Linked DNA regions of Macaca mulatta. The protein of the gene in region 1 binds, or shares a complex with, the protein of each later gene. Links are inferred from orthologs where the notes say so. Each region holds a gene or a part of one and is shown in the gene's direction. Other genes may lie near its edges. The genes, in order: TGFB3, TGFBR2, LRRC32, ITGB8, ITGB6 and TGFBR1.

Region 1 (4,429 bases):
TAATACCCCCCACTTGGATATTAATCCATAAGCCTGAGGCTGCAATTTTTTGAATTTTGAAATCAGACCTTGGCGATGACCTTGAGCAGTAGGATATAAATAACTCCCACATGCTTAGCATTCCAATAATGGAACACTAGGCATAAATGGATTTTAATCCCCTTGAAGGCAGGGGTTGTGTCTGTTCACGTTTTGCTTCCCAGTGTTAGCACTATGCTTGGCATATAGTAGCTGCTCAATACATTTTTTATAAATGAATGGATGCCCAGATGAACAAACACAGGAATAGATCAACTAGTTGTAAGATATGTAAACTACTAGGTTGCTGATATCTTTCTAGAATCAGTATTTTCTTAGGCCGGGCACGGTGGCTTACGCCTGTAATCCCAGCTCTCAGGGAGGTAGAGGCAGAAGGATAGCTTGAGCCCAGGAGTTCGAGACCTGCCTGGGCAGTATAGCAAGACCCTGTTCTCCACAAAAAGGAAGAAAAAACAAAACAAAACAAACAAAAGTGTAGAATCAGTATTTTCTCAAAAAGTAGGAAAAACAGGTTGGAGAACTTACCAGAACTGAGATTTTAAGGCAGTGGGAGGAGGGGGCAATTAGATTTGACTGGCCAGTCTCTAGTGCCATGTCGTGGAGCTCTGAGGCCACACTGCTCCTTGCTCAGGACTGTGTGTGATTCTAGGGCCACCAAGAATCTTCCTCGTATCTCCACCTTGAGGTCTGAGACCTCAAGCCTCTAGGGAGGTGGCAGGCAGGACGGTGGCCACTTGGTGCCTGTCCGTTGGCAGCACACTGTTCCTGCATGTCTCACTCATGCTGTGCCCTCTGCTCTGCTTTATCTCCTAGACGAACTGGCTGTCTGCCCCAAAGGAATTACCTCCAAGGTTTTCCGCTTCAATGTGTCCTCAGTGGAGAAAAATAGAACCAACCTGTTCCGAGCAGAATTCCGGGTCTTGCGAGTGCCCAACCCCAGCTCTAAGCGGAATGAGCAGAGGATCGAGCTCTTCCAGGTAACTCCTCTCTCGGAGCAGAAACCACACCTACGAGAAAGCCAGTTCCTTTGCCATATCAGGGCACCACTGGGTGCAGAGTTTGGCAGACCTGGGTTTGAATCCTGGCTTCTCTGAGCCTTTGTTTCTGTATCAGTGTCTGTCATTAAAACCTTAAGAGTTAGCTAAGGCGCTCGGGGGCCATGGCATTCAGGAACCACTGGTTTCTTATTGCTCCCTCACCTGTGCTCTGCACTGTGACATCTTCTGGGGCACTCTGTCATGGCCTCTAGTACTCACTCCTTTCTCTGCCCTATAGATCCTTCGGCCGGATGAGCACATTGCCAAACAGCGCTATATCGGTGGCAAGAATCTGCCCACACGGGGCACTGCCGAGTGGCTGTCCTTTGATGTCACTGACACAGTGCGTGAGTGGCTGTTGAGAAGAGGTAGGTGGACCCTTCGGATGAACATTTCAGAATGAACCTCAGGTCCCTTAGTCCTCCATGAAACAGAGGGAAGAGGACAGAATTAAGGGACTCAGAGATCTGGGTTCAAACCCTAGCTTTGCCACTGAGTATTCTCCATTCATTCACTCAACTAATGTTTATTAAGTGCTCCCTGTAAGCCAGGCCCTGGGGATGCAGCCACAGGGATAGGAACTATGAGAAATGGAAAGAGGGCAATGTGATAATGATTGGGTGGGGTCCACCAGGGAAGGTCTCTGTGATGAAGAAATTCATGCATTGACATCTGAATGATAAGGCGTCAGCCCATGAAGATCAGAATAAGGGATGTGCTAAGCAAAGGCAACAGTGAGGCCCAGGCCCTCAAGTGGAAATAAGCTTGATTTGTTCGAGCAGCAGCAGCAAACAGATTGGTGTGGCTGGAGCATGCTGAGCTGGGGTAGGGAGGAGGAGGGGAGGTGGTCAGAGAGGTTGCTGGGGCCATATAATTTATTATTATTATTATTATTATTATTATTATTATTTCTTGAGACTGAGTCTCACTCTGTTGCCTAAGCTGGAGTGCAGTGGTGCAGTCTCGGCTCACTGCACCTCCGCCATCTGGGTTCAAGCGATTCTCATGTCTCAGCCTCCTGAATAGCTGGGACTACAGGCACACGCTGCCACACCTAGCTAATTTTTTTTGTATTTTTAGTAAAGATGGGGTTTCACCATGTTGGCCAGGCTGGTCTCAAACTCCTGACCTCAAGTGATCCACCCGCTTTGGCTTCCCAAAGTGCTGGGATTATAGACGTGAGCCACCATGCCCAGCCAATTTAATTTAGAACATCATCAGGTCATGGTGAGGTTTCAGGACTTATTCTGTGGGTGATGAGAAGTGTGGGAGTGCTATAACCAGAGATGGGGATACTCAAGGTACCCAGGTATTCCTTCCTGTCCCTCTACTGGGCGTGAAGTCAAGAGCCTAGGAGAGCCATGTGGATCTGCTGACAGCAGCTCTGCTGGGAATTCTGACTCACACAGCTACCAGGAGGAGGGACTGGGTGTGGTGATTCGATTGACATCTTTAAAAGATCCCTCTAGTTTCCAGGAGGTCAAAGGAAGAGGCAGGAAAACCAGTTAGGAGCCATGGTGGCAGCCCAGATGAGAGCAATATAGGCTGAGACTAGGGTGGTAGCAGTGGATATGAAGATTGTATGGATTTATTCTGTATTTTGAAGGTAGCCAGTAAGTAGCGCAGGCTGATTAGGTGTAGGGTGTGAGGACACAAGAGCATTCTGGATGACTCCTAAATTTTTCGACATCCAGGTGGTATCACTTATTGAAATGGGGGGCCTAGGAGAAGAACGTGTTCTGTTCCGGCCAGTTAAGTTTGAAAGGCCGGGTGGTCATGCAAGCAGAGCTATCCCAGAGGCGTAACACACTTCACATGTCCCAAATATCTTATCCACGCACTGTCTTTCTTCACCTGGAAAATAAGGCAATGGTTCCTCCTCTGCATGCCTTATAGAGTTGTTTTAAGGATCAAATGCATTTGAGAGAACTTCATGGTTTTTACCATGTTTTACAGGAGTAAGCTTTTCTTATTTTAGATAAGGAAACAGGCCGAGAGAAGTTAAGTGACTTGACCGAGGTCGTCCAGTCTGGATGAGAACTTTGGTGTCTCATGACACCATCCTCTATGTTTCTTTCCCTTTCCTTGACTGGTACTGCCTGGTCTGATGCTCAGTGGGTTGGGGTCACAGATGGCAGTCCCATCTGTTCCTTCTCTCCCTCTTGGGCAGGGTTTTCTCCTGTCATCAGCTGCTATAAAGCCACAGACCATCCATATATTGATGCCCAGACTCCCTGAGGCAGGTGGATCCTTCTAGGTCCTTGGTATTTTAGCCAACTAAGAGTTAAAACTCAAAGGCAGAGATTACAAACTATTTGGCCTGCATATTGTTTTCAATTTGACTAGTCATCAACAGTTTTGGGTGTTTTAAGTCAGGAGATTTCACATAAAACCTGGACTTCTTGCTGTTTTTGAAAAGTTGGAAGATTTCCTGGTAACCATCCATCACAGACGAGTACCAGCCACCCCTTAGATGGGGTATGCATCCTCAGTACCCACAGCCCTCACTATTCCCTATTGTTCCCCAAGAGTGAGGCTGGCAGTTCCTGTTTAGCATCACATGCTGGCTCGGTTTTCTCACGTGACCTGCCTGGACTCCATAGGCATCGAGTTTGCATTGCTTGGTACCCATGGAGCCCAGGCAGGTCACATAAATGAGAAAATTCCCCATCCAAGGGGAATTATCCGATGGCTGAGTTGGCAGATGGTGGGCTGGAGATCCTGCCCCAGTCCCAAGGGTACCCAGGAATTCCATCCTGTCCCTCCTACTGAGCATGAAGGCAAGAGCCTAGGACAACCCACGTGGATCTGCCGACAGCAGCTCTGTTGGGAATTCTGACTCAGACGGCTACAGAAAGGAGGGGCTGGGGAAATTAATCTCTTAACTTCCCTGTCTGATTTTGATCAGCTCCACCTGGATTTCTTTGAAGCCCTGGGCACTTGAAGGAGTTCTTATTTTCACAGCTGCAGAGCTCAATGAGAAGTTTGCATTGAGAATGATTTCCATCCTCCTGAGACATCAAAAAGATAATTTCGTAATAAAACCTATGGGTCCCCCACCCACCATCCCCACGGCTGCCAATTCTGAGGTTAGTTCTTCATTGGAACCTTCAGTTCCCACTTAGGCAGATACTGCCTACCTTTCCTACAGGGGAATCATCACACAGGTTTGTGCTTATAGAGAGCCCATGAGTCTCGTCGGAGTTCATGGCTTCAAACCAGGCAACAAAGGACTCCAAATTGGAGCAGTTGGTGGTGTGGATTGATGAGGAAACTGAGTCACACATGTGGTCTTGGATTCATTGAGCAAACATCTGAGAGCCCTTGTGCATCAGGTACCCAGCTTGCATTCT
Region 2 (5,176 bases), on another chromosome or scaffold:
TTCAAGGATCTGGTTTTTATCTTCTCTTTATCTCAAGAGCAGTGGGAAGCCATTAAATGATTTTAGTCAGAGAGTTGGTATAACTAGTTTTGTATTTTGAAAAACTGAATTCAGCTCTCATTTGAGAAACTGAGTGAAACAGCCCGGAATGGCCGTGGCTGAGGGTGACCGGTGGGAGACTCCTACTCAAGCCACGGCAGTGGCATGGGCTGGTGGCAGGAGAGGGAACAGGGAGAAGAAGATTTGGAACTCAATCTTCCTCCATTGATAAAGTCACTCCAGCTTTGGCAAGGCAATTAATTGATGGGAAAGAAGATGCCTAGCCCTCCTGATTTCACTGCATTTTCTCCATCTTAAACATGAGCGCTGGGAAGTGGCAGAACATCTAGAGGCAGCTCGGGTGCTAGGTGGAGCAAGAGGTAAAATTCCAGGATGAAGCAAATGAACTCTTAGAATGACAGGAGGGATTTTGGGAGCTGGGTTTGGGGGAGTGCTATTTACCTTTATTCCCTGGAGGCCCTGGCCCAAACCCTTGCCTCTGCAATCTTTCTCTCAGGTAAAGGAATTCATTAAACGAATTGCTGGAAGATCTACTGACCAGAGGGCTGTACAGAATCCTATCTTTGAGAGAGAGAAGTAGGTTGATCACATAGTTTATTATCCAATCAGGACATATCTGAAAGAGAAAAGGGGTTCTATTAATATTTAAACTACAAAACATGTACACCAGGAGTGTCTTGGGCAAATCTGGTTGCCCTAGCAAGAAAGGAAATTTGAAAGTTTATACTGTTCTGCTCCCATGTTACCCCTTTTTCACATGAAAGGCTAAGCATTCTCTTCACCTGCATTAAGGGAATAAAAGCGCAAGCATTCAGGTGACTCCCAAGCCACTTTTAATTTTACAGTTTCTGCTATACTCTATACATTCTGAAAATTACATTTTCCACCATTATCACTTCGTGATAGGTGATCATTTACAATTACTCACTGACTCAGTCCCCGGAAGAGGCGGTGCGAAATGGGAGGCTCTATCCAGGTGCTCATAAAAATGCAGAATCTCCGCCTGCCTCCTAGACCTACTGAATTAGAATCTGCATTTTTTAACAAGATTCCCAGGTGATCAATAAGTACATTAAAACTTGAGAAAAACTTCTAGACTTCGACCTAAAGAAAAAACATTTTACCACTTGACAGTGTATGCACACACATACATGCATAAAGACACAACCGAAGCACAAGTTTAATGAAGTAAAATTTACCGTTACTATTTTATTTGGGACAGAAATGTGCTCACGACTCAATAGATTTGAGTATTCACTCCTGGATCTCAACGTGTAATTTGAAAACGCATCTCTAAAGCACCTAGGAGCAATCTGAAGAAAGCTGAGGGGAGGCGGCAGATGTTCTGATCTACCAGAGAAAACGTGGACGTTTTCTGTTGTTACTTTGTGAACTGCGTGCACTTAGTCACTCTTGAGTAAATACGTGAAGCGAGGAACTCCTGAGTGGTGTGGGAGGGCGGTGAGGGGCAGCTGAAAGTCGGCCAAAGCGCTCGGAGGGGCTGGTCTAGGAAACATGATTGGCAGCTACGAGAGAGCTAGGGGCTGGACGTCGAGGAGAGGGAGAAGGCTCTCGGGCGGAGAGAGGTCCTGCCCAGCTGTTGGCGAGGAGTTTCCTGTTTCCCCCGCAGCGCTGAGTTGAAGTTGAGTGAGTCACTCGCGCGCACGGAGCGACGACACCCCCGCGCGTGCACCCGCTCGGGACAGGAGCCGGCCTCCTGTGCAGCTTCCCTCGGCCGCCGGGGGCCTCCCCGCGCCTCGCCGGCCTCCAGGCCCCCTTCTGGCTGGCGAGCGGGCGCCACATCTGGCCCGCACATCTGCGCGACCGGCCCGGCGCGGGGTCCGGAGAGGGCGCGGCGCGGAGGCGCAGCCAGGGGTCCGGGAAGGCGCCGTCCGCTGCGCTCGGGGCTCGGTCTATGACGAGCAGCGGGGTCTGCCATGGGTCGGGGGCTGCTCAGGGGCCTGTGGCCGCTGCACATCGTCCTGTGGACGCGTATCGCCAGCACGATCCCACCGCACGTTCAGAAGTCGGGTGAGTGGTCCCCAGCCTGGGCTCGGCGGGGCGCCGGGGGTCTTCCTGGGGTCCCCGCCTCTCCGCTGCGCTTGACAGTCGGGCCCGGCAACCCGGCGCCCGGGCGGAAACGAGGAAAGTTTCCTCCGCGGCACTCTAGCAGCCCGACTCCCGTAGCTGCAGGGATGTGTGAGTTTTTCTTGAAAAAAAGATGGAAAGTTCACTTGCAAGGGGCGCGGGGCACGTTTGGTCCCCTTTGTGCGAGCAGGAAAGGCGTTGTGTTGGCCGCGTTCGAGGCGAGCCCCCACCCCCGGAAAGGGAAGTTTGAGAAGTTGGTTATCTGAAGGCGGCCGGGGAGCAGCGGCCCGGGGCGGCAGCCTGAGCTGCCAAAGCAGCCAGCACACCTGGGCCACTCAGCCCGTGGCAATGCCGCGTGCCCACCCAGCTCTTTCTGAGCCACCCGTTCAAAAGGCCAGCTCCTCAGTCCTTAGCTCCTGGACACGGCCACGCTTTCCCTCAGGCCGGCTTCTTGGCCCGGAGGTTTTGGATACAAGTTTCAAGAAAATAAGCGATTTCCAAAAGAAAGTTAGCTGGCTCCACTGACGCCTTGGCATGGATGGGAAGGGAGTGGAGATGCTCAGGTGAAACCGAGAATTCCTCACTGAATGCCCACTGGGTGCTAGGGGCTGTAGATTTTGCCTGGAACAAGACAGTCCTGTCTTCAGGGAGTTGATAGTTCTATGCAATTATCGTTTGTTGGAAACCGAAGGGTTAAAATTCTACCTAGGCTACCCACCTGATCGCTGTGTCTGAAGGTTTTTAAGGAAAAAAAATATATGTTTATATGTATGTGTGTGTCTGTGTGTGTGTGTGTGTGTATATATATATATATATATATGCATGCAGGAATGGGGGTTCTTAATGATTTGTTATGGAAAGTGTAAACACCTGAGACTTCAAAAGTTAGATTTTTTTTTTTTTTTTTTTTTTTTTTTTTTTTTTTTTTTTTGAGACGGAGTCTCATTCTGTCACCAGGCTGGAGTGCAGTGGCGCAATCTCGGCTCACTGCAACCTTTGCCTCATGGGTTCAAGTGATTCTCCTGCCTCAGCCTCCCGAGCAGTTGGGATTACAAGCACCCGCCACCACGCCCAGCTAATTTTTGTGTTTTTAGTAGATACAGGGTTTCACCATATCGGTCAGGATGGTCTCGATCTCTTGACCTCGTAATCCGCCCACCTTGGCCTCCCAAAGTGCTGGGATTATAGGCATGAGCCACCGCGCCCGGCCAAAAGTTAGACTTTTTGCAGCTGTGATCCAAATAACAGTATCTGCAGCTGTGGTCTGGGTAACCGAGTATTTGGGCAAGTCACAGAGCTTTTTCTGGGCCTTAGTTTCCTCATCTGTAAAATGGCAAGGTTGAATCTGGGTAATTTTACATCATCTTCGTGTTTAACATCTTACGTGCCGTGGCCCTCCCCTCCTTTCCCCTAGCTCTTCTGGTAACTTGGAGATGACCCATGTAGGCTCTGGATGAAATGTAGAGGAGTTGGCAGTCCACATCACCCTGACGCACTCTTTTTATTTATCCAGGGACATGGGCAGATTTACCTTTTGGTTTGTCTAGAAAAAACGCGCATCATGGTCAGTTGTAAATTTCAGAGTATTTGAAGTGGATTGGGAACTTTTTAAAAATTATGGCATACATTGAAGGTGGCATGGAGATGGAAGCTTTTAATCTAATTAGGAAGATGCACTATTGCAAGCAAAAAGTCTTAACACACTTTTGAGTCCTATGGTTTTAATAAAATCTTAGTGTTTCGTTCTTGGCGTTTTTCCTGCATTGCAGTACCAGAATGTTCAGTTGTCTCTCATTTTCCTCCAGACTCTTAAACCTAAGTTGTATTTTGCTAATAAATATTTAAAATGGCACCCTTAATTTTCTGTGGATGTTAAAAATCATTAAAACTTTTGTTCCAGATTATAGAAGAAGGAAATTAGCAGGCCCTGATGTTGTTAGGTTCTGTTTACAAGGATAAGATTTATGATTTGCAAATTCCAGACCCAATAGTTCATGAGTCACTTTCATTTCATCAATATACACACTTTTAAACAATTAGCATAAAAGCGTGGTGGCTTTTTGAGTATTTAGACAGTTTAACAAGGCCCACAGATTTCCTATTTTTATAGAATTGAAGTTTCAAAATGGTTGAATTAATGAATATTTTGAATTTGTATTCATTTGATTCAAATTAAATTTTCAAAGTTGGCCAAAGGTTGAAGATAGATATATTGAAGATGAGAAACCTAATTCTACTTACATTTTAATTTTTCATGTAAGTAAATGGTTTCAGAATTTTTCTAACATAACTGGTAAACTGAAAACATTTTTTCAAAATATCTTGATGCAAGATAATATATGAGGGAATGAGATTGTTTAATAAACAACAAGCTCCTTTTACGTCACATAGAAAAGCCCCAAAATCTGTCTTCTGTTTAGTAGCTTCTGTATTTCTGTTTAGTAGTATGTAAAGGATTTAAATATAAGAACAAATTTCACTAAGAAATAGAAAGTTTTTTTTCCCTTGTTTTTGACTTAGTACATTCACTCTTCCTAAATGATCAAAATTAAGAAATGACTCTTTGGGGGAAAACTGTAAAGTGTACAATAGCTCTTCAGGTCTGAAAAATATGACTTTTCAGATTCCTAAAAGTAGATTCTTATTGAGGACAAAGAATTTGTAACAGTGTCGTAGGGATACAGGTTCTTCAGATCTCTTTAATAACCTGCTTATTTTGTCAGGGTAAGAGACTAGACATCATTAGGCCCCAAATCTTATCTTTGGTCTACTTGTGCTTTTTTTTTGCCCTCATAAAAATACGTTTTTACCTTTAGGCCACTCCCTTTAACAACATCTTATTTTTAATGAGTTATGTTTTATACAAAATACTAATCACATTTTGAGCTCGTGCCTTCTTTGCAATGTAGCAATCCCTAATGATGACTCTCGTCTGTGTAGTCAATGTAACTACTACATGTTTTCTACTCAGTTATGAACATGACTTTTTAATTTTTTCAGTAAGGTTAGTTTTTAATTCTGGATCTCA
Region 3 (4,892 bases), on another chromosome or scaffold:
GCACTTTCCTGGACATTTGGCCCCTTGGACAGGGACCTGGAAAAGGAAGCCCGCAGGATAGAGGAGTATCCACCAACTGCCACAATAAAGGCAGTGAGAAGTTGCCTAACAACCACTGGGTGCAGGCTCCAGCTGGATCCATTGCACTTAGTTCTAGCACCAACTCCAAGTAGTAGCTACTATCTTTCCCACTTTACAGATGGGGCCCTGAGGTTCCATTTGACCAAATGGAGCATTAGAGACCAGGGAGGGGGCTGGATGGACCAGCTAGGACCCTATGGACATAGATCTGAGGCCTTGGGTGGCTGAGAGGGAAGAGAAAGAGGTTTGGATACCTTTCCCAGGCCCTGCTGAGAGATTCCTTACCTGCACCTCCTGCCCATCCCCTCAGTGCAGCTCAGGCCTCCTCCTTAGGGAAGCTTTCCCTGATTTCCTCCTCTAAGGCTAGGTCAGGCCCCTGGGGCACCTGCTGTCACAGCTTGTCCTCTCTGGGTTGACCCCATCTGCTCAGATCCATCTCCACAGTAGACTGAACAGGCAGAAGAAAAGACAGTAACTGTAGGGACTTCAGGAAATCCCACTTCTGAGCCCAGCCTTACCCTGATTTGCCAGAAGGCCCTGGGTGGTCACTTTCATGCCTGTAAAATGGGGCACCCTACCCCACTCTAGGGCTGGTGACCATCAGGGAAGAGAAACACTGTGGAAGACCATCAGGGAAGAGAAACACTTCCACCCCCAGAACCAGGACCTGGAGGACAGCCAGGGCCCCTCTCCTCTAGGGACCCGCATCCTGGAGCCCACAGGCAGCAGAGCAGGGTACCTGTGATTTGGTGGGGACAAGGCATCTAGAAGAGGGGTGGCTTTGGGGAAGATCTGCTTCAACCTCCGATCTAAACGACAATACCGCCACCCTATATTTGCACAATACTTTAAAAAATCGGCCAAGATAATGCCCAAACTGAAGCAGACTTGGCTTTATGGACAGAGTGGGCTCAAATCCCTGATTCTTACAAGCTGTGTGACTTTAGACATGCCACTTAACCTTTCTGAGCCTCAGTTTCCCCAACTATAAATAGGGACCTTACTAGTCTCAGACAATTGGTTTTCATGTGTACACACTGCCCCCGCCCTAGCCTCAGTTTCTCCGTCCGAAAGCTGAGGACTTTGATGGTGCTATTTCACAGGCTGTTGAAGGGCCCCGCAGATGATGGAGGAGTACGGGTCTAGACGCTAAAGCACAGTTCGGAGAGGAAAAGTGACCTGCCAGGACCCACCAGAGCGGGCGGCTTGGTGCGGGGAACCCCCTCCGCGGCCGCCCCAGGGCCAGAGAAGGGTCATTTCCTTCCGCATTCAGCCCCGCCGTCACCTCGCCTGTTTGCCCCCGCGTTAAGTGCGGCGGCGCCAGCAGCTGGGAAATCGGGGCCAGGCCGGATTTCCTCTGTGGACCTGCGGCTCTTAGAGCCACCGCGCCCCCCTCCGGACCCCGCGGGGCCGCGAACTGCACGTGCGGCGGCCACCGGGACGGGCCTAGCTCCCACGGCGCTTCCTCTGCGACCCCTCTCCCTCCCGCCCTCTCATCTCACCCCTCTGGGTCCCCGCCCCTTCCCGGCCGAGGTCCCAGGGTGATGAAGATGCTTCGCCGCTCCGCCCCAGTCCGCCTCCGCCAGCTCCGGATAAACCGAGGCACGGGGCCAGGCGCTAGGACCCCGCGGCCTCGCCGGAGGGGGGCGTGGCGTGGCGGGCCGGCGGGAGAGGTATTTAAATTGCAGCCGGAGCGCGGGGGCTCCGGTGGGGCAGCTGAGTGGCCTGCGCCTCCTCGGGCCGTGACCCCGGGGTCTGGCGCGGGGTGGGACCCGGGGGCGGGTTTGCGCAAAATGTGCCGAGACTGCCCGGGAGAGGAACTGCGGCCGCGCTGAGCCAGGTAGGAGCCGCCAGGCGGGCGAGGTGGCCGGCCCTCGGGGGGCGCACTGTTGCGCGCCCCTCGCGAGCGCAGGGAGGGGTCTGGTCCCGCGAGACGCCCCCCAAACCCTCCCCTCCCGCCGTCCCCACTGCGCGCGTGGGGCTGGGGCTGACCCTCCCTCGGTTCCTGGGAGGCCCCCAAGGCTCCTGTCTCCGCGGAGCTTTCCCGCAAAGGAGTGAGACCGAGGTTCCCATTTGACAGCTGGGAAAACAAAGGCCTGAAGACCGGACTTGCCCAGGAACACACAGCTAGGCAAGGGCAGACCGGAATTTGAATTCACGTTTCCTGCAACGTTCCGATCCCGGCCAGGCGTGGGGCTGCCCATCCCACAGCACTAGATGGCCTGCCCATTTCTCGTAGTGGGGTGGGAGGCACCTACCGCTCTGCAAGGGGCTCTGAAGCCAGCCTTCTTCATGGCTGGTAAGATGTGAGGGACCCCCACCCCCACCCCGAGCTGCCTGAAATTCCGCCATCACAGCCACATTCCTTTGGGTTAAGGTCTAATTCCCCCGTGGGATGCACATGTCTCCAGAACGAGGCTTGCCCTTAGTGATTCACTGCTTGACAGGAACGTCCGCAGCAGCTCTCCCAGGACCCCACTCTGCCAGTAAGTCAGCTGAGGCCGAGAGGAGGGAGAGAGGACCTCAGAGCCCAGACTGTGAGCTAGTCTGCCCTGCTCCTGCATGTGAGGGGTCGTTGGCAGGGCTTAGGGAAGGAGACCTTGGTCCGGTATAGTGGAAACATTTGCTTTGGAGGTAGATGAACTGGATTCTGATCCTGACCCTGCTATTTGCTCCTTGTGTGACTTTAGGTAAGTCACCTCTCTGAGCCTCCTTTTCTTCATGGGCAAAAGAAGACAGTTCTATGGGGGGAGTCGGCTCAGCTTGTGCTGGAGAAAACACAGTATTCAGGTCATGTAGAACTGGATAAATCCGAGCTCCAAAGCCCTTGTGAGCTGGGTAACTCTGGGGGTAAGTCACTTCACTTTTCGGAACCTGTTTTCTCAACTGTAAAATGGGAATTACAGTAATTGCCTCAATAGGTGATTGTGAGAATTAAATGAGGTGATATAGGTCAAGTGCTTAAAAGACTGTCTAACATCCTTAAATGTAGGGTGGGCTTATTGTGATAGTAGTCATTGCCCCCCGTACCCCTGCTCTCTTACCCCTGCTCTCTTCTCTCTCTGTCTGTCTCTCTCTCACACACACGCACACACACACACACACACACACACACACATTCTTTAGCACTTTTCTGCCTCCTCTTGCCCAGGCCACTTGTCTGCAGGCTTGGGGCCTCCCCACTGAGCACACCTCACCTGGGATGCTCAGCCCTGCGAGGGTCACTGTGCCAGCTGGAAGGACAGTGAGGACGCAGGGCACCTTTGCTGCTATTCTTTGCCGGATCATCACAATAGTTGGGGTTGGCCAGTGGCAGAACTGGAACCCAGCTGCCTGCCCTGCAACAGGACACTGGGGCACCAAGAAATGAAGGAACTTACCCTAGGGAGCAGAGCTGGTGAGTGGTGGGCTTTGGATGCATGCCTGGGTCTAAGTGACACCGTCCTCCTTTTTGAGAGAGAGTAGTCTTGGGCACCACTGAGGAGGGCCCACAGCTGAGGGGCCCTTCCTGTCAGATGCCAGGACAGAGTGCCCATGTGCTCCAGGGACGGTCCCTTCTGGATGTGCACAGGGCCACCTTGGGGATAGAGTGGGGTTTGGCAGAGGAAGGGGAAATAAGGGCCTAGGACCCTTCCTTGTCCTCACCTGGCACTCTCCACTCAGTCTGCTGCAGCTGAGCTTCTGCCCTGACTTTGCCACTTGTTCACTAGTCTTTAGTGAGCACCTACTTAGTAGGCCCCTGTTCCCACATGATAAGAAATAAATGATGAGGAAATGATACATGTGGGAAAACAATGACATGTGTGAGGAGCTGAGGAAGAGCATTCAGGGAGAGGAAACCGCAGGAGCAAAGGCCCTGAGGCAGGAATGAATTTGCTGTGTTGAAGGAACAGCAAGAAAGCTGGAATTTAGTGAGGGAAGGGAAAATGGACAAGAGTCAGAGAGGAGACTGTGGATGGCCTGGATTTTCTTGGAGATTTTCAAACAGTAGAGGTTTAGGGTCTGACAGATGATTTTATCTCTCTGGCTGCTAGGTATAGGACAGATTATAAGGGGTCAGTGTGTTGTGGTTAAGGCCGGTATTGGGGTGGCATCTCAGTCTGTGGCAGTGACAAGAGGGAAGTAGGAAGATCTGGGGTCTCTTTTTCAGGGAGAGCAGTCAGAGCCCTCTGATGGCACAAATAGGGGAAGGGAATGTGGCAGGGAGGTGAAGGGAGAGCCAAAGAGAACTGCTGTCACTAACGACCCCATGTCACCAATACTCCTGGTGTCAGTTCTCTGTGCCGCTGCTGACCTGCTGTGTGCTGTGAGATGCATCTCAGGACGGTGAGCCCCTCTCTAGGGGCACTTCCCATGGGAGGGGGGTGGGACACAGTACCCACGGAGGGCTTGGTGCTGTGCTCACTGGAAGCTCGGGGGCTCTGGGAGGACTGGAGGACATAGCCCAGACTTGGGGAACCAAAGAAGACCTCTTGGCCCATCTAAGCTGGGACCCCAAGGATGAGGAGGTCTTTAGTAGAAGAGGAGAGGGGAGGAAGTGAAGGTTTGGGGCAGGGAAAATCTGCTCAGGGAACTGATAGAAATATGAGATGTCCAGAATCCAGAGTGTGAGAGGGGACACTGGGGAAGGAGGCTGGAGGGAAGAGCTGGCCAGGCAGGGCATGCTCCCCAACAGCCTGGAAGGCCCTGCAAAGGGGTTTTCACTCAGTTCTGAATATGCTAACTTTTTAACGGGCGGTGGCGTTCTGCTTTTTAAACAGTAGAACAAAGTTTCCTGTGAAAGCGCAACCTGTAATGCAGGTGAGAGCAGA
Region 4 (4,429 bases), on another chromosome or scaffold:
ATACGATACCCTGTTACATTTATACGGAGCTAGCCTATTTGTTATTATCCCTATTCAGCCTATAGAATTGTGGGAAATGAACTGTAGGATTTGGGACTAATAAATTGGTATGGTTTTCAAATTGCCTTATAATTATACTACAATAATAATTATACTATAATGATTATAATTATACTAGAATATTCCAAAATTCATGTGCACATTTGTGATGATTGTGCTAGGTGCTAGAATGTGACTAATTTATTGATAGCTTATCCTGAAAAGTTTAAAATGAAGACTACATGATGTTTTTCTTCTGTCGAACTAGGAGCTGAAGCTAATTTTATGCTGAAAATTCATCCTCTGAAGAAATATCCTGTGGATCTTTATTATCTGGTTGATGTCTCAGCATCAATGCACAATAATATAGAAAAATTAAATTCTGTTGGCAACGATTTATCTAGAAAAATGGCATTTTTCTCTCGTGACTTTCGCCTTGGATTTGGTTCATATGTTGATAAAACAGTTTCACCATACATTAGCATCCACCCTGAAAGGATTCATAATCAATGCAGGTATCTAGGGTTTGATGAGCATATGCTAAATTAATTTTTTGCTTATAAAATCTCACTTTGTTTTTAATGTAAAGAACTTACCAAGTTTTATATTTTTGTCTTATAAAATAAGAATAAAAATATTTGGTGAGGTGGGAAAGTTTGTTCATATCTGAAAACTTCTGAGATGACCTGTAGATTGGGCTTTTTATTTTCTATTTCTTTAAATATTTAGTTAGTTTTTATCACCAAAAATAAACAAACAAACAAAAAACAATGCCTAATGTTAGTAGCTTTGAATGAAGCTTCAATAGTTAGGCCGCCATGTATATAAATACCTCTTTGGAAATGCTGTATTTTTATGCTTTGATTGCTCCAAAATTGCTGAATTATGATTTGACACATTTCAAAGAGTTTGTGCCAGCACGTCATCTATCTCTCCAATACTGTACTGTGACTGGGGATAATGATGTTGCCTATGATGTGACTACAAAGAAAGCTCAGCTATCACAAAAAAGTGGGTCAAAAGATGAGAATTTGACTGCTTAGAAAGCCTTTTTTCTTATCATTTTAGAATTCTTATTCTAAATAACAGATGTCCCACTATGAAAGAAGAATTAACTTTAAAAATGTAAGTGTCTCACACAATATTGCCATTAGCCCGTTGAATTTTCAGAAAAATAAATCCGTTTGGATCTTTTTTCATAAAAGACTTTATCTTTCTTGCTTCTACCAATTCCTTAGATTACCTTAAAATACACATTCCAATTTACCGAAACAGCTCTGTCATCTGTTGTACCAGAACAGGATTGATGCATCCACTAATGGAGTTTCATAAGCCTTCTTGAGGTGAATGTACCAGAGGAATCATTCTTACTTTCTGGATATCATGGATTCTCAAAATAATTTTAATGAATTTTGATTGTTCATCAATAATTCCACCAAGCATGATTTTAAAAATTAGTGCAGTATTAAAAAACAAGCAGTATTATCACATTTCAACTAAATTCCTCAAAAGCATTTTCCAAAAGTGTTTCTCAGCTGTTCAATGATAAGAAATCACTGCACATTCTTTTATTCACCTTAAAAATTCAGTGCAGATTAAATATTGAAAGCCCTTAGCTGTCCTATATTAACAAACATGTTTAATCATCTTTATTTTTTTGAATACCAGCTACTTATAGTCTTATTTCCTACTTGCAAAGAAATGATCATCAATATTGAACTTCTCTCTAATTTTATAAGCACAGATTTTTGTCTTATAAAATTCCCCTGGCACAAAAGAAGTACTCCCTTTTCACTCAACTGTACAATTTTACTGTTAAGTATTCTAGAATGCTTAAGAAAGAAGAGCAAAATAAACTTTACACTTCCTCTTTTCCCATATAGTGACTACAATTTAGACTGCATGCCTCCCCATGGATACATCCATGTGCTGTCTTTGACAGAGAACATCACTGAGTTTGAGAAAGCAGTTCACAGACAGAAGATCTCTGGAAACATAGATACACCGGAAGGAGGTTTTGACGCCATGCTTCAGGCAGCTGTCTGTGAAGTAAGACGTTTCACATTATTGAGTGTTTGCTAAGATGCAAAACTTTCAAAGAATTTAGAATTTTTGTTTTCTCTTTGATTTGAGGAGTGAAAACGTAGTGTAGAAGAAAACATATCTTACTATCTCTTACTCCTCACCAAGGTGATTCATTTTGGTATGTGTTTTGTACAGAGGGACTAAATTGGGGGAGGGATTTAAATAGGAAAAGATAAAAGGGAAAGAAAAGGTTATGCACGTGAAAATTCTTTCCAAAAGGGCTGCTTTTCTCATGCGCCACACTCCAAGGAGGAACTAGAAGTAGACTGTTGCCCTCCTCGCTTCAGCTTGTTCTCCTCCTTTTTTTTTTTTTTTTTTTTGAGACGGAGTCTCGCTCTGTCTCCCAGGCTGGAGTGCAGTGGCGCGATCTTGGATCTCGGTTCACTGCAAGCTCCGCCTCCCGGGTTCACACCATTCTCCTGCCTCAGCCTCCTGAGAAGCACCTGCCACCATGCCCAGCTAATTTTTTTTTTTTTTTTTTTTTTTTGTATTTTTAGTAGAGACGGGGTTTCTACTAAATAATTTTATTTAGCCAGGGTGGTCTCGATTTCCTGACCTCGTGATCCGCCCGCCTCGGCCTCCCAAAGTGCTGGGATTACAGGCGTGAGCCACCGCGCCCGGCCTCTCCTACTTTTTAATCTATCTTATTCTTCCTCCACTGGAACACTAGACATCTCTAGCCAGGAACTAGTGTGGTCACATGGCTGTGGGAAAATAGAGGATGTACAAATGAAAGTTAAAGCTATTTATGCAGCAGCGTTGTACCCATGCACATCGTTCTAGCCTGACTTAATGTTCATCGACTCAAACATGATGTTTACTTGAGGTAAAAACCACAGTACAGATCTATGTTATTGTACAAAATCTAATTACATGTTTATTTTTAAGAGTCATATTGGATGGCGAAAAGAGGCTAAAAGATTGCTGCTGGTGATGACAGATCAGACATCTCATCTTGCTCTTGATAGCAAATTGGCAGGCATAGTGGTGCCCAATGACGGAAACTGCCATCTGAAAAACAACGTCTACGTCAAATCGACAACCATGGTAATGTAGCAGTAGCCCCTTAGTAGATATGACTCTTTTGGTTAAAGTACAATTTTAAATTGGCAACTCCACTATTTTTGTACCAGGAAATTACCTAAAAAAGAAACAAGGATAAGCCATGAGAGAGAATTTATGGAACAGTGCAATCTATAAATACTGATCAATAAAATGTATGAATCAAACACTTTGACAGTTTCTAGTAGCTGACTCTTTGATGAATGACAAAGCACAGTATAATTTTTGAAAATAAAAATGATACAAGATTTTACTTTTTATGTAATTCTAGGACAGGGGAAAAAAGTATACCTTTGCTTTTTACAAACAGACCAGTTGTACAGGGTCAATATCTACAAACATTTTAAGGAGGAAACCTCACAGTACAGTAGGTAGAAACTAAATAGAAACCAAGGAAAAAAGACAAGAGAGAAAGAGAGTAAAACAAAGTAGGCTTTCTCTATTTTGTACCTTACTTCTCTCTGCATCTTATCTATTTAAGGTCTCTTTAAATCAGTGACTATCTGGCTTGCTTCCTGAGGGTTAGTATAAGCTCGGAATCATATATTTAATATAATCACCTAGAACCATATCTTCCCTGGCATTATCTAATTCTAGTTGTGAAGAATCAACAGCCCAAAGCATCATTTACTTCTGATGTTGACACTTATTTATATATTCTTGCATATGTTAAAACAGAACCTCTCCAACTTTCTCAGTTCAGGAGACCTTAGTCTCTCAGTGATTTTATTCCATGACACTCATGGGTCAAAAGAAATACCTAATAGTTCTGTTTTTCAAGTGGTTAAGTCCAAATAACTCAACTATTTTTGTCTTAACAACTTAGTAGCTCCTTAAAAATAATACAAATGTATCAAATGTAGAGAGACATGTTTCAGTTTTAGTAAGCAACTTACGAAGAGAAATTTTCAAATCCTGAAATAAGATTGGTCATCACTACCCTGATTTCTTCTTCCATGTTGATTTTCAAGTTGACCAGCTCGGCAAAGATTAATGTCATTTAAAAGAATAAGACCGAATGTAAACTTAAAACTATGAACTCCCTCCAACTAGTTCTTCATTGGTACCTGATACATGCTGAATGTCACTGTATTTCTCTTGAAGATTTAAATTATTTCCTGCCACCCTTGGGAGTGTGCTGCAGTGCACCAAGACACCCCACACGCAGTTTGGGAATCACAGTATCAGAAGCATGAAAATTATGCTGAAATTTGTGTGGTTCCCATGGATAAATTTTAAACAG
Region 5 (4,870 bases), on another chromosome or scaffold:
ATTGTAACAAGGAGCAACATCAAAGGAATTCTGAAACATTGCTCCCCACATACAGCATGGCCCATGTCATTTGATCTTCAAGAATGCAGAGCAGTGGGTGATGAATGTTCATGACAGGAGAGCCAATGTATACATTTCCATCAACAGGAGGAATGGGTGCAGGCCAAACTAGCAATGGGTAGTACGCTGTAAGCACAGACAGCCATTTGCAGAGGTGTCAGCATATTGTACAGAATTATACATAAGGAGGGACATGTGATAAATAAAATTTCATTAATTTATAGAAATAAACCAAAGCATCCAAAATAGGCAGCTCCATGCATATTTGGTCTTCTAACCCACAAGAAGTAATATTTATTGCCTTCATATGAAAGCCAACTTTAGTGATATTCCTTTGTGGTAATATTATGATATACCATTTTGTATTCCTAGCATGTCCTACAACCCTCGTTATGGTGCACTTATGAGCAGAGCACCACAGTCAGTACACCAAGAAAATAAAAGGTAGTTTGTATTGAGACAACCCACTTAGAGAAATGAATTTTACAGAGGGGAGAAATAATGTCTCTATGGCAGAAATTAAGTCAGTTCTTGAATTTCAAATGGAAGTGTCTCCTCACAGCTGAGTTATTTAAAGAGCAAAAGACCAAACATGCACCTCAATTACAGGAAATTAAAAGCCCCGTGAAAGCTCACAAAATCATCAAAAGTTATAAATGAAAGGTAGCTTATAAATCTTCTATTACCCACCACACAACACATACACACATTTTTATAGATGAGGATACAGCCCAGAAAGGTTAGATATTTTTCCAAGATCACACAGTGAGTAAATGGTAGAGCCAGGATTCAAACCCAGGACTCTTGGCTCTCTCTGTTTTTCTTGCCTCAATGCTCCACAAATACCAAAGGGCTTGCAAGCTGCAAACCTGAACCAGTACTGTTTATCAGACATTTGGGAAGAATTGTAACATGATGGAAAGAGCTTTCAAGTCAGACTGGAGTTTAAATCCCGACTTGGTCACTTACTTGTATGGCCTTGGATAAGTCAACCTCCGGGTCATTTATAAAGCAAACATCGTGACTCCTATCCGCAGTGTGGTGGTGAGAATCAAATAAAATAATGTACACTAAGTGCCAAGCAGGGGGCCTGGCACACCATGGGAACTTGAGGAGTATCTATTATTACTATCACATTACTTCCTTGGAGGCATACCCAAAGTCCTGAACTTTCAGTCTTAGCCTGGAAAAGAGAGTATGGGTCCAAATTCTTCATCCTTCTCGACAAAGCCTGTGTGGATGTTTCTGTTCACGGCTGTGCTGCGCCAAAATAAATCTAATTCAATCTGGACCATTAAATGCTTGGCACCATGTTTTACGCTAATCTCATCAGTTGTTATTTTCAGTTTCTAGTTTACCCAAACAATCCATTTTTAGAGTTAGTGACCAAAGCTGCCAATAAAATAGACTTATCTCGAAAACACCAGGATCCTCCTGAAGGAATGTCAATACACACATGTAGCATACGGCAATGCTTTATAAGAGTTTGACCACTGGCCTGCAGTTGGCCAGCTCAACTGTAAACTCAGTACTATTTTGGGGTATTAATATCTATAAGTGCTTAATATCCCAGCCACACTGCCATCCACTAGGTTTGAATGTCCTTTATGGAGTGAACTTGATCCTCCCGTTTCACTTTTGGTCTCTCTCCAGAGAAGCTAATGTACTGGCATAGTTCTGCCATTTGTCAGCCAGAAGTCTGGTTACACATTTGCTCGTCAATCTAAACCTAACCTATTCTCATATGAGCACTTGGGGTTTCATGTAAATCAACCAGACGTTCTGTCATTCACCAGCAATATCTCTCCATAGTATTCTACACCCATGTGCCTTCATGAAATATTTCATTATGCCGGTGGAAGAAATATTCAAATGAATGTGCTTTTTCAGGGATGGTGACACCAGAATGTTTTAAATCTGTTCATTACCACAACAAGGATAAATGGCGTTTCTGCCAAAGACTTTTGATAACGGGTGCAGTAATGCATGCCAGCACTTTCTGAAATTAAAGGTTCTACCCTGAGAGGTAAGTAGGATAATGCATGGCTAACAAATGCAAACCCAAATTTCAGAACTGAGTGTTTCTTGTCAGTGTCACCGATCGCTTCCAACAGACGCTGCCTTAGGGAGTTTGTAATGTCATTTCTGCTCTCCTGACATGAACGTCCAGGTGAGCCTACCCCAACGTTTGTAAAAGAGCGGATCCTTATTAACTTAGCATGCTTTACTGTGATTTTTCTTACATTTGGACTCACACATGTTTTTAACAGCTGCATTTTAAAAATCTGCTATGGTTTAAGAACAGTATTTCATAAAAGCCTTAGTTCATTATTCAGTAAAATATTTTAATAACCAGTTGAACAGTCTCTCGTTAAGATTTTAAGATATTTGTTTCTGATTGTACTAATTAATTGTTAAAGTTTTTTTAAAAAAAAATCAGTGATGAGACTCGTCTTCACTAACTTTTTGGCATCTTCAAGAGGCACAAAGGAAATGAGGAACTGGAAATTTAAAACAGGAAAATAAATATCAGTTCATATTTGCATTGACATATGCATGACATCGGACCAGTTAACTTCAGTACCTCTGGATTGTAAAATGGTGTTTTAGTGTAGAACTAATACATGAGAATTATGGAGAAAATGGAGAGAAAAGGGCTTCCAATTCAGGTTATCTATGAAGAGCATATTTTATTCTTACAAGTGTCTGAAAATACCTGGTATCATTACTATTCACCATGAGAACTTTCGGAAGTATGACCACTAGCACTGTAAAGAACAAAATCCAATATCTGTGGATTTTGTACATTATTCATCCAAATAATGTACCCTCTAAAATTAAAAAAAATCACAGGTAGAGCTATATTGTATTGGCTCGTAAAATACCTAAAATGGACAGAATCTGATCAGAGAGTAATAGTTTTCTTCTCCTATTTTTTTAGATTCTGAACAGGCTCAGAAAGAAAGTTTTTTAATACAGGGTTTTGAATATAAAGTCATTTGGTCATAATACAAGTATTGGTGTCTGCCTAAGGAAAATTTTGTGCCTCAGTGATATGCAAAAACGCCTTCCTCTTTAGAGTTCTCCTTTCTTCATTCCCCATTCATTCCCATTGTAATCTTTTTCCTCTATCTGACTTGCTCCCTCTAGTGTTCCCTGGATGAAGTACAATAGCTAAAGCTCAATTTACAAACACACAAAATCCTATTACTGCAATCTCTCAATGTTTTCCCCAGTTACCATACACTAAAGCAAACTTAGCACCAGATGTTTTGGCCTTGTGAGTTGTAGGTGACAGCAAGAATTTTTAATCAGAGAATGGAATATTGTATTCCACTTAGTGGAATATTGTATTCCAACTTCAGATCCTCAAAGGGGGCATTTATTTCTAATCTGATTGTTAGGGTTAGGTTCCTTCTCTGCCTTTGAATTCTTGTATTGGAATTTACTTTTATTGTGATATGCAGAAGGGGAAAAGATACTCTAATGAACTAAAGCATGCAAGCAGTCATTTCTTTGACATATTTCCCAGGAGTAGAACTTACACTGATCTTCTAAATTACCTAAGAGATTCAAGGCATTTTGACTCAAGAAAAAAGCGATCAATTCTTTAATGGTTTTACAAAAACCATAGGCATATTCTCAGCCACAGAATCTCTTAGTCAAACCAGGAGGAACAACCACTTGGGAGGTGTATTTCTTATGGGCACTTTTTCTTTACAGAGAATAAACACTCCCAAAGCTGTCAGCTGCCATTGCTGCTACTTTGGAAATCAGCCACACCCAAGATGTAGTTATAAGAGCTAACTACAGGCCAAGGTCATCTGGGGATCCATCCAGCCTACTCACAGGCATGGCACCCCAACCTGGTCACAGTGCATGGGCCTGTCAATCCAGGCAGGCCAGCCCAGATTGCTATTTTAGGTTGGAGTTCCCGAAAGAAGGCCCTTGACTGTCCTTCACGCTACTGGCATTCAGCTTTGTACTTAGCCATTCTGAACCATTATCTACTCTATGCCCTAACTGTTTCTCTCCTTTGCAATATCCCACCTCTTTGGGGAGCCCCATAGGAGGTTGATAGATATGTCAAATTGTAATATTAAAATGATTATTTTGTTTAATAACACAAAGTTCACCCATACATACAGCTCTGCTACATCAGGTTACGTCTACCAAGTGCCTGAGCAGGAAACCTCAGGCTTGTTTATCCTCCTCCTTCACTTGGATCTGCCGTTCATCCTTTCCTCTTTCATGTCCACTGGCATTATAGTTCATCCACATTTGCCTAGACTGCTACACTAACTTTCCAAGCACTCTCCCTCCCTCCAATTCACCAACATACTACCGTTGGTTATCTTTCAAAACAACAAATCAGAATGCATTTCTCTTCTGTTTAAAATTTTTCACTGGTTCCCTATCATATATAAGATAAATTTTGAATCCCCTACCATCTTAGTCTGTTTTGTGCTTCTATAACAGAATACCACAGACTGAGTTATTTGTAATGAACAGAAACTTGTCAGCTTACAGTTCTGGAGGCTGGGAAATGCAAGATCAGGGGCCAGCATCTTGTGAGGGCCTTCTTGCTGCATCATCCCATGATGGAAGGTAGAAGAGCAAGACAGGGTGAGAGAGAGGAAAAAGGGAGCTCAACTTATCCTTTTATAACGAACCCCTCCCATGATAATGGTGTTAATCCATTCATGAGGGTAGAGCCCTCATGGCCTGATCCCTTCTAAAAGGTCCCACCTCTTAGTACTGTTACAATGGTGATCAACTTTCCAACACAAGAACTTTGGAGAACACAAAC
Region 6 (5,119 bases), on another chromosome or scaffold:
CCATTCTAGTGTGGTTTATTTATGAATCTGTGGCTCATGGAAATTTCCTCCTAGTATCAGGAAGATACAACTTAAAAATAGTCTGTTTTTCCTTCCTATTGAATCCACTCAATTCCATGGAAAATGTTAAGGAACTGGAGGTGTGATTAACACTGATTAATCTAGGCTCCGTACGTCAAAGGCACAGACGAACATGAACATACATGCTGATTAGAATCATACAGAGCTGGAAGGGGATGGGCAAAAAAATGGCATTAGCTAAATATTTACTATGTTCCAGACACTGTACCAGACACATTACGTCATTTAAGGGGCCCAAGACAAGTGATTCAATCCCTTTTATTTATAAACGGGGTAAGTACTATTATTATTTACGTTTTAGAGATGAGGAAGCTAATGGCCAGAGAAAAACAGTCACTTTCTGAGATCATTTATTCATTCATACAATAAAAATCTCATTAGCTTTTATCTTACGCAAGACATTGCAAATAGGGCAGCAAAAAGGCAGTCTAGGGACCTCAGGTGGCACAAAGCCCACCAAATCTCCATTGAAGAAACTGGAACTGAGAGGGCAAATTGGGACTGGAGCCTGCCAGAAGCCGTCTCTCTGGAATCCCTCAGCCTGAGCAAGAGGGATGTTTGTTGCTGAGGCTGCTGGAGCTGCGGTCTAGAGCAAGTTGCAGGCCTCTGAGTCTGTTGGAGGTTGAGAAAGGTTAGCTGACTTGCTTAAGTAAGTGTCCTAGACAGGAGGGAGAAAGTGCGCGGGTCTCAGATCCTAGCTCCAAAATCCACGCCCTTTCCCTTTTCATCTCCCGGAAGGAAGCCTTCACAGGTGCGGAAAATGCTCACCCAGTGATTCTAAAGTAGTGCACAAATTGGCATTAGAGGCTGGTTCTGATTCCTGCTATCAAGGTTTATTTAATTCCAAGCTCAAATAACACAGAAAATAAAACTTCCTCCTTAAAAGGTTCTGCGGAAAAATATTCTCTGTTCTACGTAACAGCCTACTTGGCTGTGTTTGTGTCTGAAGAAAGGACTAGTCTGACAGGAAGAATTACAAATCTGGAGCTCATTTTGGCGTCGCAGAGGGAAGGTGGGTGGAGCGTCTCGCAGTAAATTAGGAATTCAGAATGAAAACGTAGAGTTTATTTGGGTTTTTAGTGACACCTCAGGATTATTATACAGGAGTGTCAGACACAGCTCAAAGTAATGATGACTGCTCCCCCTCCGCCCCACGGGGGCTGGGTGCTAAGAAGGGGGAACCTCTCCTTTGAGGGTTTGGGGTGGGGACCCTCCCTTTCCAACCTGGATCGGGAATGGGGATGAGAGGAGAGCGGTTTGGATCCCCATCCTGGGTCTGTGCTGGAGGGAGGCGGGAGGCTATTTGGAGGTGTGTTTCGGCTCAGGATCTGGGTCTGAGGCTGGGATCTGAGGACTTTCTAGGTTTGGAATTGGGTGGGGGAGCTAGGTTTGGGGTGACCGCTGGGCGCAGGAGGAAATAGGAGAGTGAGTCGCATGTGAAGGGCACTGAAGAGGGATCTTCGGGGGAAAGCTGAAGTTGATGCGTGGACTTGGAGAGGGGAAGTTGAAGTGGATGCTGGGGCCTGGCGCTGCAGCGGATCGGAGTGGCATGTGCTGGGATTGCCGGTGCGGGGCTGTGAATGGGGTCAGGGTGGGGCTGAGGCAGTACCAGATCTTCCGCGCCTAGAGGAGGTTAGAAGAAAAGAGCCTCGAGCGGCCACAGCCTTTTTCCGAAAGAGACTCACACAGACACACCCATCGCTCTACCCGGCCCTCCGGGACTAGCGGCTCAGCGGTGCTCTGGCTGGCAGATCCCGCCCCCACGCGGCCTCTGGGAGCTGGAAGCCGGGAGCCAACAGCGGATCCGGCCGGGGCCGCGGTCTGGCGGCCCGGCCCCCGGGGAGCATGGGGCGTGGCCAGAAACCGGCACCCGCGGCTGTGGATTGGCTGCCCGGCGGTCCCGCAGGCGGGGCTCCCGGCTGGGTCCCGCTCGGCCGCTCGCGGCGGCGGGGAGGCGGGGCCGGCGGGAGCCCGGCAGCCAATGGACGCGCGTCCCCCGAGCAGTTACAAAGGGCCGGAGCGAGGCCGCCGCGGCGGCGGGGGAGGTGGGGCGAGGCGAGGCTTGCTGGGGTGAGGCGGCGGCCGGGCCGGGCCGGGCCACAAGCGGTGGCGGCGGGACCATGGAGGCGGCGGCCGCTGCTCCGCGTCCCCGGCTGCTCCTCCTCGTGCTGGCGGCGACGGCGGCGGCGGCGGCGGCGCTGCTCCCGGGGGCGACGGGTGAGCGGCGGCACGGCGGGCGGGCGACTGCGGGGCGCGCGGGCCGGGCCCGGCCTCTGGCTCGCTCCTGCTCTTTCTCAAACATGGCGCGGGGCCGGGGGCGCAGGTGGCTGCGCCGGGGCCCGGCCGGGCTCTCGTGGCCTCGCGGGGCTCGGCGGCCGCCGTGCGAACCGCAAGCGGGGAGCGGAGGCGGGGCAGGGGCGTGTGTCCGGGCGCGGGCGGACGTGTCCTGCTGCCCGAGGCCGCCCCGCTCGGGACTCCCCGGGGAGGTGGAGTCGGGCGGAGTCGTCCGAGGTCCGGGGCTGCCCTCTGGGGTGTGAGTGGGCGAGGGTCAGGGGCGGAGAGTGTGAGGCCGGCGGGGACTGGCAGAGCGGTGGCTGCCCGCCGCCGCCCCCTCGGCACGGCGTGACCTTGTTCCGGGGACCCCCGCCCCAAGAGGGTCCGTGCCCAAGGCTGCCGGGCCCGGGGCGGGGTTTGAGGTTGGGGTGGAAGGCGGCTGCTGGGCGGGGTGTGAGCTCCGAGCCGCTAGGGCTTCGGCCAGTGGGAGTCGGGGGCGAAGTGTGGTGAGACCCCCCGGGTCCACAGGCCGCCGTAACTCCCGCCCGGCTCGACCCGACCCGACCCGACCCTGCTGGAAGGGGCTGCTCTTCCAGCCAGGGGGGCTTTGTGTGAGAAGAAGGAAGCGCGGAGATGCGCGGAATGTTTCTTCTTTCGTGCGTCTGGGGAGTGTTGAAGTGAGTCCAGTAACCAGAAGGCTACGGATTGTTTTCGTAGTGGAAACTTGAACGTTTGCTCGTTCTGCGGGGTTTGGAAATTTTGGGAATGACTGTGAATTGATTAAACGCTTTTTATTTCCTCGAAAGACCATCACTCGCGATATTCCTGTTCTTGAGTGACAGTTAATAGTTTGAATCAGACATCTGTGTAGCTGGTTTTCAAGGAAGAATGTTCGCTGAATTTTTCAAAATATTAAATCAGGTTGGGGTAGGTGGTTGGCATCCTCGAAGGGATGAGTGAAAAACTTTGTTAGCAGCTGAACTGAGGCACTAGAAGCTAAAATACAGAGAGCCTCAGTGTTAGCGACTAAAATGCAGTGAAAGTACATTTCTGTTTCTGAAACTGGACACAAGATGTTGAATTTTTTTTTAAAAAAATCAAGACTGACGATTATAATTAGTCGTAATAGCTACCGTCTATGTATTATGCATTACTGCGATGTAAATGCATAAAGTACACAATTGTATAAGTACGTTATTTAATCACCACAACTAAACTTTCAGGAGTAGTGGCATTTGCCCCACTTTACAGATGTGAAAAGTGGGGTGCAGACACATTAAGTACCCAATAACTAAGTGCTAAAGCTAGGATTTTCACTCAGATCTCAGTTTTCAAAACCTGTATATCTTATATATTAATATATATACATCATACTATCTGGCGTAGCCCATTTTTCTTCTTCAGTCGTCTGCTGAGCAATTGGTCTTTATTATTCACTTTAGATTCTGTCCTCATGATTTGAATATCAGATAGGCTTCATTCCGACTCTTAGCACATTCCTGAGTCCCTTCACGTGGGCCTCCTGCATTAGAGGAAACAATGGATTTTTGATATTGGCCTAGGGAGGAAGGCAAGATAACTGTGTGGACATTTGGGAGAATCAGTATAGTTAGGCATGAAACACAGGTAACATTTCCACACCACTATTAACTTGAATAGCACAGTGCATTCTTTTCCACCAGAAGTAGCATAAGAAGTGTTCATGTATTCAAGTAACAGTAGTGGACTTAGTTGAATATACAGAACATTGCTCAGTCCATGTCCTGGAGAAGTTTACAGTCTCCTTGGCGTGCACACAATACAAAGCTGTCCAGGTGCTTATTACTGTAAGCCCAGACTGCCTCAGCTTGTCTGCCTTCCTTGTTGGTTATGATGATGCCTCAGTCCACCCTTAAAAGACATTCTGAAAAAGGTCAAATGCTTTTTTTTCCCCCTCAGTAATTTGGCTTCTCTTTTAAAGACTTGCACTTTTTTATGTTCTGAGTATGTTTTATTGTTGTCTGCCCAACTTCTCTCTCCAACATAGATTTCTCTAGGGAAATGGATTCCTTGTCCCTAGTACACAGTTTAGTACCACTATGTCTATATTTATATCCCATCTGAGAATGCTGTTTGCTTCCTTTCTGCCATTTCATAACTTTTTTTGTTTGAAAACATGCCCCCAATCCAACTCTTCTTTCTATGAATGCCTCTTGAATGTCTCCTCCTTTCTTGGTATGCAGCCTTCAGCTTAATCCTGCCTGTTATCCTCCAAATCTAGTTGCTTTCCCATGTTTCTCTCATCTAGGCTTTTCTATGGGCTACTGCCAAACTAATCTTCCTCAGCCATCCCCATGAAGGTTTATAAGATTTCCCATTTGTATTCAGCACTTAGAACCACACTTGAGCAGCTTATGATTGGGGCCATCTCTGAGTATCTTACCAGGGATCTCATTTCCCATGACTGCAGACCTTCAAACAATTTCTCTTTCTCACTGACTCCTGACTGTTCAGCCTTTTCACTACACGTTTAGTTTTGCCCCTGTTATGGGAGTGTGAGAAGTTCTCAGCCCTGACTTCCTGTGCTGGTTTAGTTCTTGAATTCTTTGTCTTCCAGAACTCTGCAACACTTAACAGTTTGTGTTGTCCATTTCTACTGCCTGTGCTGCTACTTAACAATACTTGACTGTGTTATAGGTACCCAGAGGACAAGATTCATGCCATTTCTTTATTTTATGGCCTCAGAACTTAGCACTGTGTTTTATATTCTATTCCACATAAATGC

The links.
Region 2: the proteins of TGFB3 (region 1) and TGFBR2 are in contact, whole or in part, in a crystal structure (PDB 9B9F), measured with the Homo sapiens proteins. The link is inferred for Macaca mulatta from reciprocal best matches to the Homo sapiens genes TGFB3 and TGFBR2. Residues at the interface, in NP_001316868.1 of Homo sapiens: Arg325, Lys331, Trp332, His334, Tyr390, Tyr391, Val392, Gly393, Arg394; in NP_003233.4 of Homo sapiens: Leu50, Phe53, Asp55, Ser72, Ile73, Thr74, Ser75, Ile76, Glu78, Val100, Asp141, Glu142.
Region 3: the proteins of TGFB3 (region 1) and LRRC32 are in contact, whole or in part, in a cryo-EM structure (PDB 8VSB), measured with the Homo sapiens proteins. The link is inferred for Macaca mulatta from reciprocal best matches to the Homo sapiens genes TGFB3 and LRRC32. Residues at the interface, in NP_001316868.1 of Homo sapiens: Leu24, Ser25, Thr26, Cys27, Thr28, Leu30, Pro347, Pro349, Tyr350, Leu351, Arg352, Thr357, His358, Val361, Leu364, Leu368, Ser375; in NP_001122394.1 of Homo sapiens: Ala110, Ser135, Tyr137, Ser160, Val184, Met186, Asp187, Ile188, Asp190, Phe193, Leu202, Leu204, Arg206, Asn207, Ser208, Thr210, Cys211, Ile212, Ser213, Asp214, Phe215, Ser216, Leu217, Cys227, Asn228, Ser229, Lys254.
Region 4: the proteins of TGFB3 (region 1) and ITGB8 are in contact, whole or in part, in a cryo-EM structure (PDB 8VS6), measured with the Homo sapiens proteins. The link is inferred for Macaca mulatta from reciprocal best matches to the Homo sapiens genes TGFB3 and ITGB8. Residues at the interface, in NP_001316868.1 of Homo sapiens: Gly262, Asp263, Leu264, Arg266, Leu267, Lys268; in NP_002205.1 of Homo sapiens: Ser156, Ala157, Ser158, Asn161, Arg206, Gln210, Cys211, Tyr214, Leu216, Ser247, Gly248, Asn249, Ile250, Asp251, Thr252, Glu254.
Region 5: the proteins of TGFB3 (region 1) and ITGB6 are in contact, whole or in part, in a crystal structure (PDB 4UM9), measured with the Homo sapiens proteins. The link is inferred for Macaca mulatta from reciprocal best matches to the Homo sapiens genes TGFB3 and ITGB6. Residues at the interface, in NP_001316868.1 of Homo sapiens: His259, Gly262, Asp263, Leu264, Arg266, Leu267, Lys268; in NP_000879.2 of Homo sapiens: Ser142, Ala143, Ser144, Asp147, Pro196, Cys197, Ser199, Ile200, Tyr202, Cys204, Ala234, Asn235, Ile236, Asp237, Thr238, Glu240, Asp271, Lys355.
Region 6: the proteins of TGFB3 (region 1) and TGFBR1 are in contact, whole or in part, in a crystal structure (PDB 9B9F), measured with the Homo sapiens proteins. The link is inferred for Macaca mulatta from reciprocal best matches to the Homo sapiens genes TGFB3 and TGFBR1. Residues at the interface, in NP_001316868.1 of Homo sapiens: Ala301, Leu302, Asp303, Asn305, Tyr306, Tyr350, Leu351, Ser353, Thr357, Thr360, Leu364, Leu368; in NP_004603.1 of Homo sapiens: His39, Leu40, Thr42, Lys43, Phe55, Met70, Ile78, Phe84, Val85, Lys91.

The regions. Positions count from the first base shown.
Region 1 is NC_133412.1:149,174,961-149,179,389, reverse strand, and holds part of TGFB3 (transforming growth factor beta-3 proprotein precursor), read left to right. Parts: intron 1-852; coding exon 853-1,016; intron 1,017-1,314; coding exon 1,315-1,444; intron 1,445-4,429. UniProt on the Homo sapiens protein: Transforming growth factor beta-3 proprotein: Precursor of the Latency-associated peptide (LAP) and Transforming growth factor beta-3 (TGF-beta-3) chains, which constitute the regulatory and active subunit of TGF-beta-3, respectively.
Region 2 is NC_133407.1:17,939,182-17,944,357, reverse strand, and holds the start of TGFBR2 (TGF-beta receptor type-2 precursor), read left to right. Parts: upstream 1-1,850; 5' UTR 1,851-1,997; coding exon 1,998-2,091; intron 2,092-2,692; exon of another isoform or gene 2,693-2,711; intron 2,712-5,176. UniProt on the Homo sapiens protein: Transmembrane serine/threonine kinase forming with the TGF-beta type I serine/threonine kinase receptor, TGFBR1, the non-promiscuous receptor for the TGF-beta cytokines TGFB1, TGFB2 and TGFB3.
Region 3 is NC_133419.1:77,073,557-77,078,448, reverse strand, and holds the start of LRRC32 (transforming growth factor beta activator LRRC32), read left to right. Parts: upstream 1-1,787; 5' UTR 1,788-1,921; exon of another isoform or gene 1,922-2,931; intron 2,932-3,232; exon of another isoform or gene 3,233-3,478; intron 3,479-4,892.
Region 4 is NC_133408.1:107,913,207-107,917,635, reverse strand, and holds part of ITGB8 (integrin beta-8 precursor), read left to right. Parts: intron 1-307; coding exon 308-554; intron 555-1,922; coding exon 1,923-2,088; intron 2,089-3,012; coding exon 3,013-3,171; intron 3,172-4,429. UniProt on the Homo sapiens protein: Integrin alpha-V:beta-8 (ITGAV:ITGB8) is a receptor for fibronectin. It recognizes the sequence R-G-D in its ligands.
Region 5 is NC_133417.1:65,076,030-65,080,899, reverse strand, and holds the start of ITGB6 (integrin beta-6), read left to right. Parts: upstream 1-1,806; 5' UTR 1,807-2,086; intron 2,087-4,870. UniProt on the Homo sapiens protein: Integrin alpha-V:beta-6 (ITGAV:ITGB6) is a receptor for fibronectin and cytotactin. It recognizes the sequence R-G-D in its ligands. Internalization of integrin alpha-V/beta-6 via clathrin-mediated endocytosis promotes carcinoma cell invasion.
Region 6 is NC_133420.1:59,300,192-59,305,310, reverse strand, and holds the start of TGFBR1 (TGF-beta receptor type-1), read left to right. Parts: upstream 1-2,092; 5' UTR 2,093-2,201; coding exon 2,202-2,298; intron 2,299-5,119. UniProt on the Homo sapiens protein: Transmembrane serine/threonine kinase forming with the TGF-beta type II serine/threonine kinase receptor, TGFBR2, the non-promiscuous receptor for the TGF-beta cytokines TGFB1, TGFB2 and TGFB3.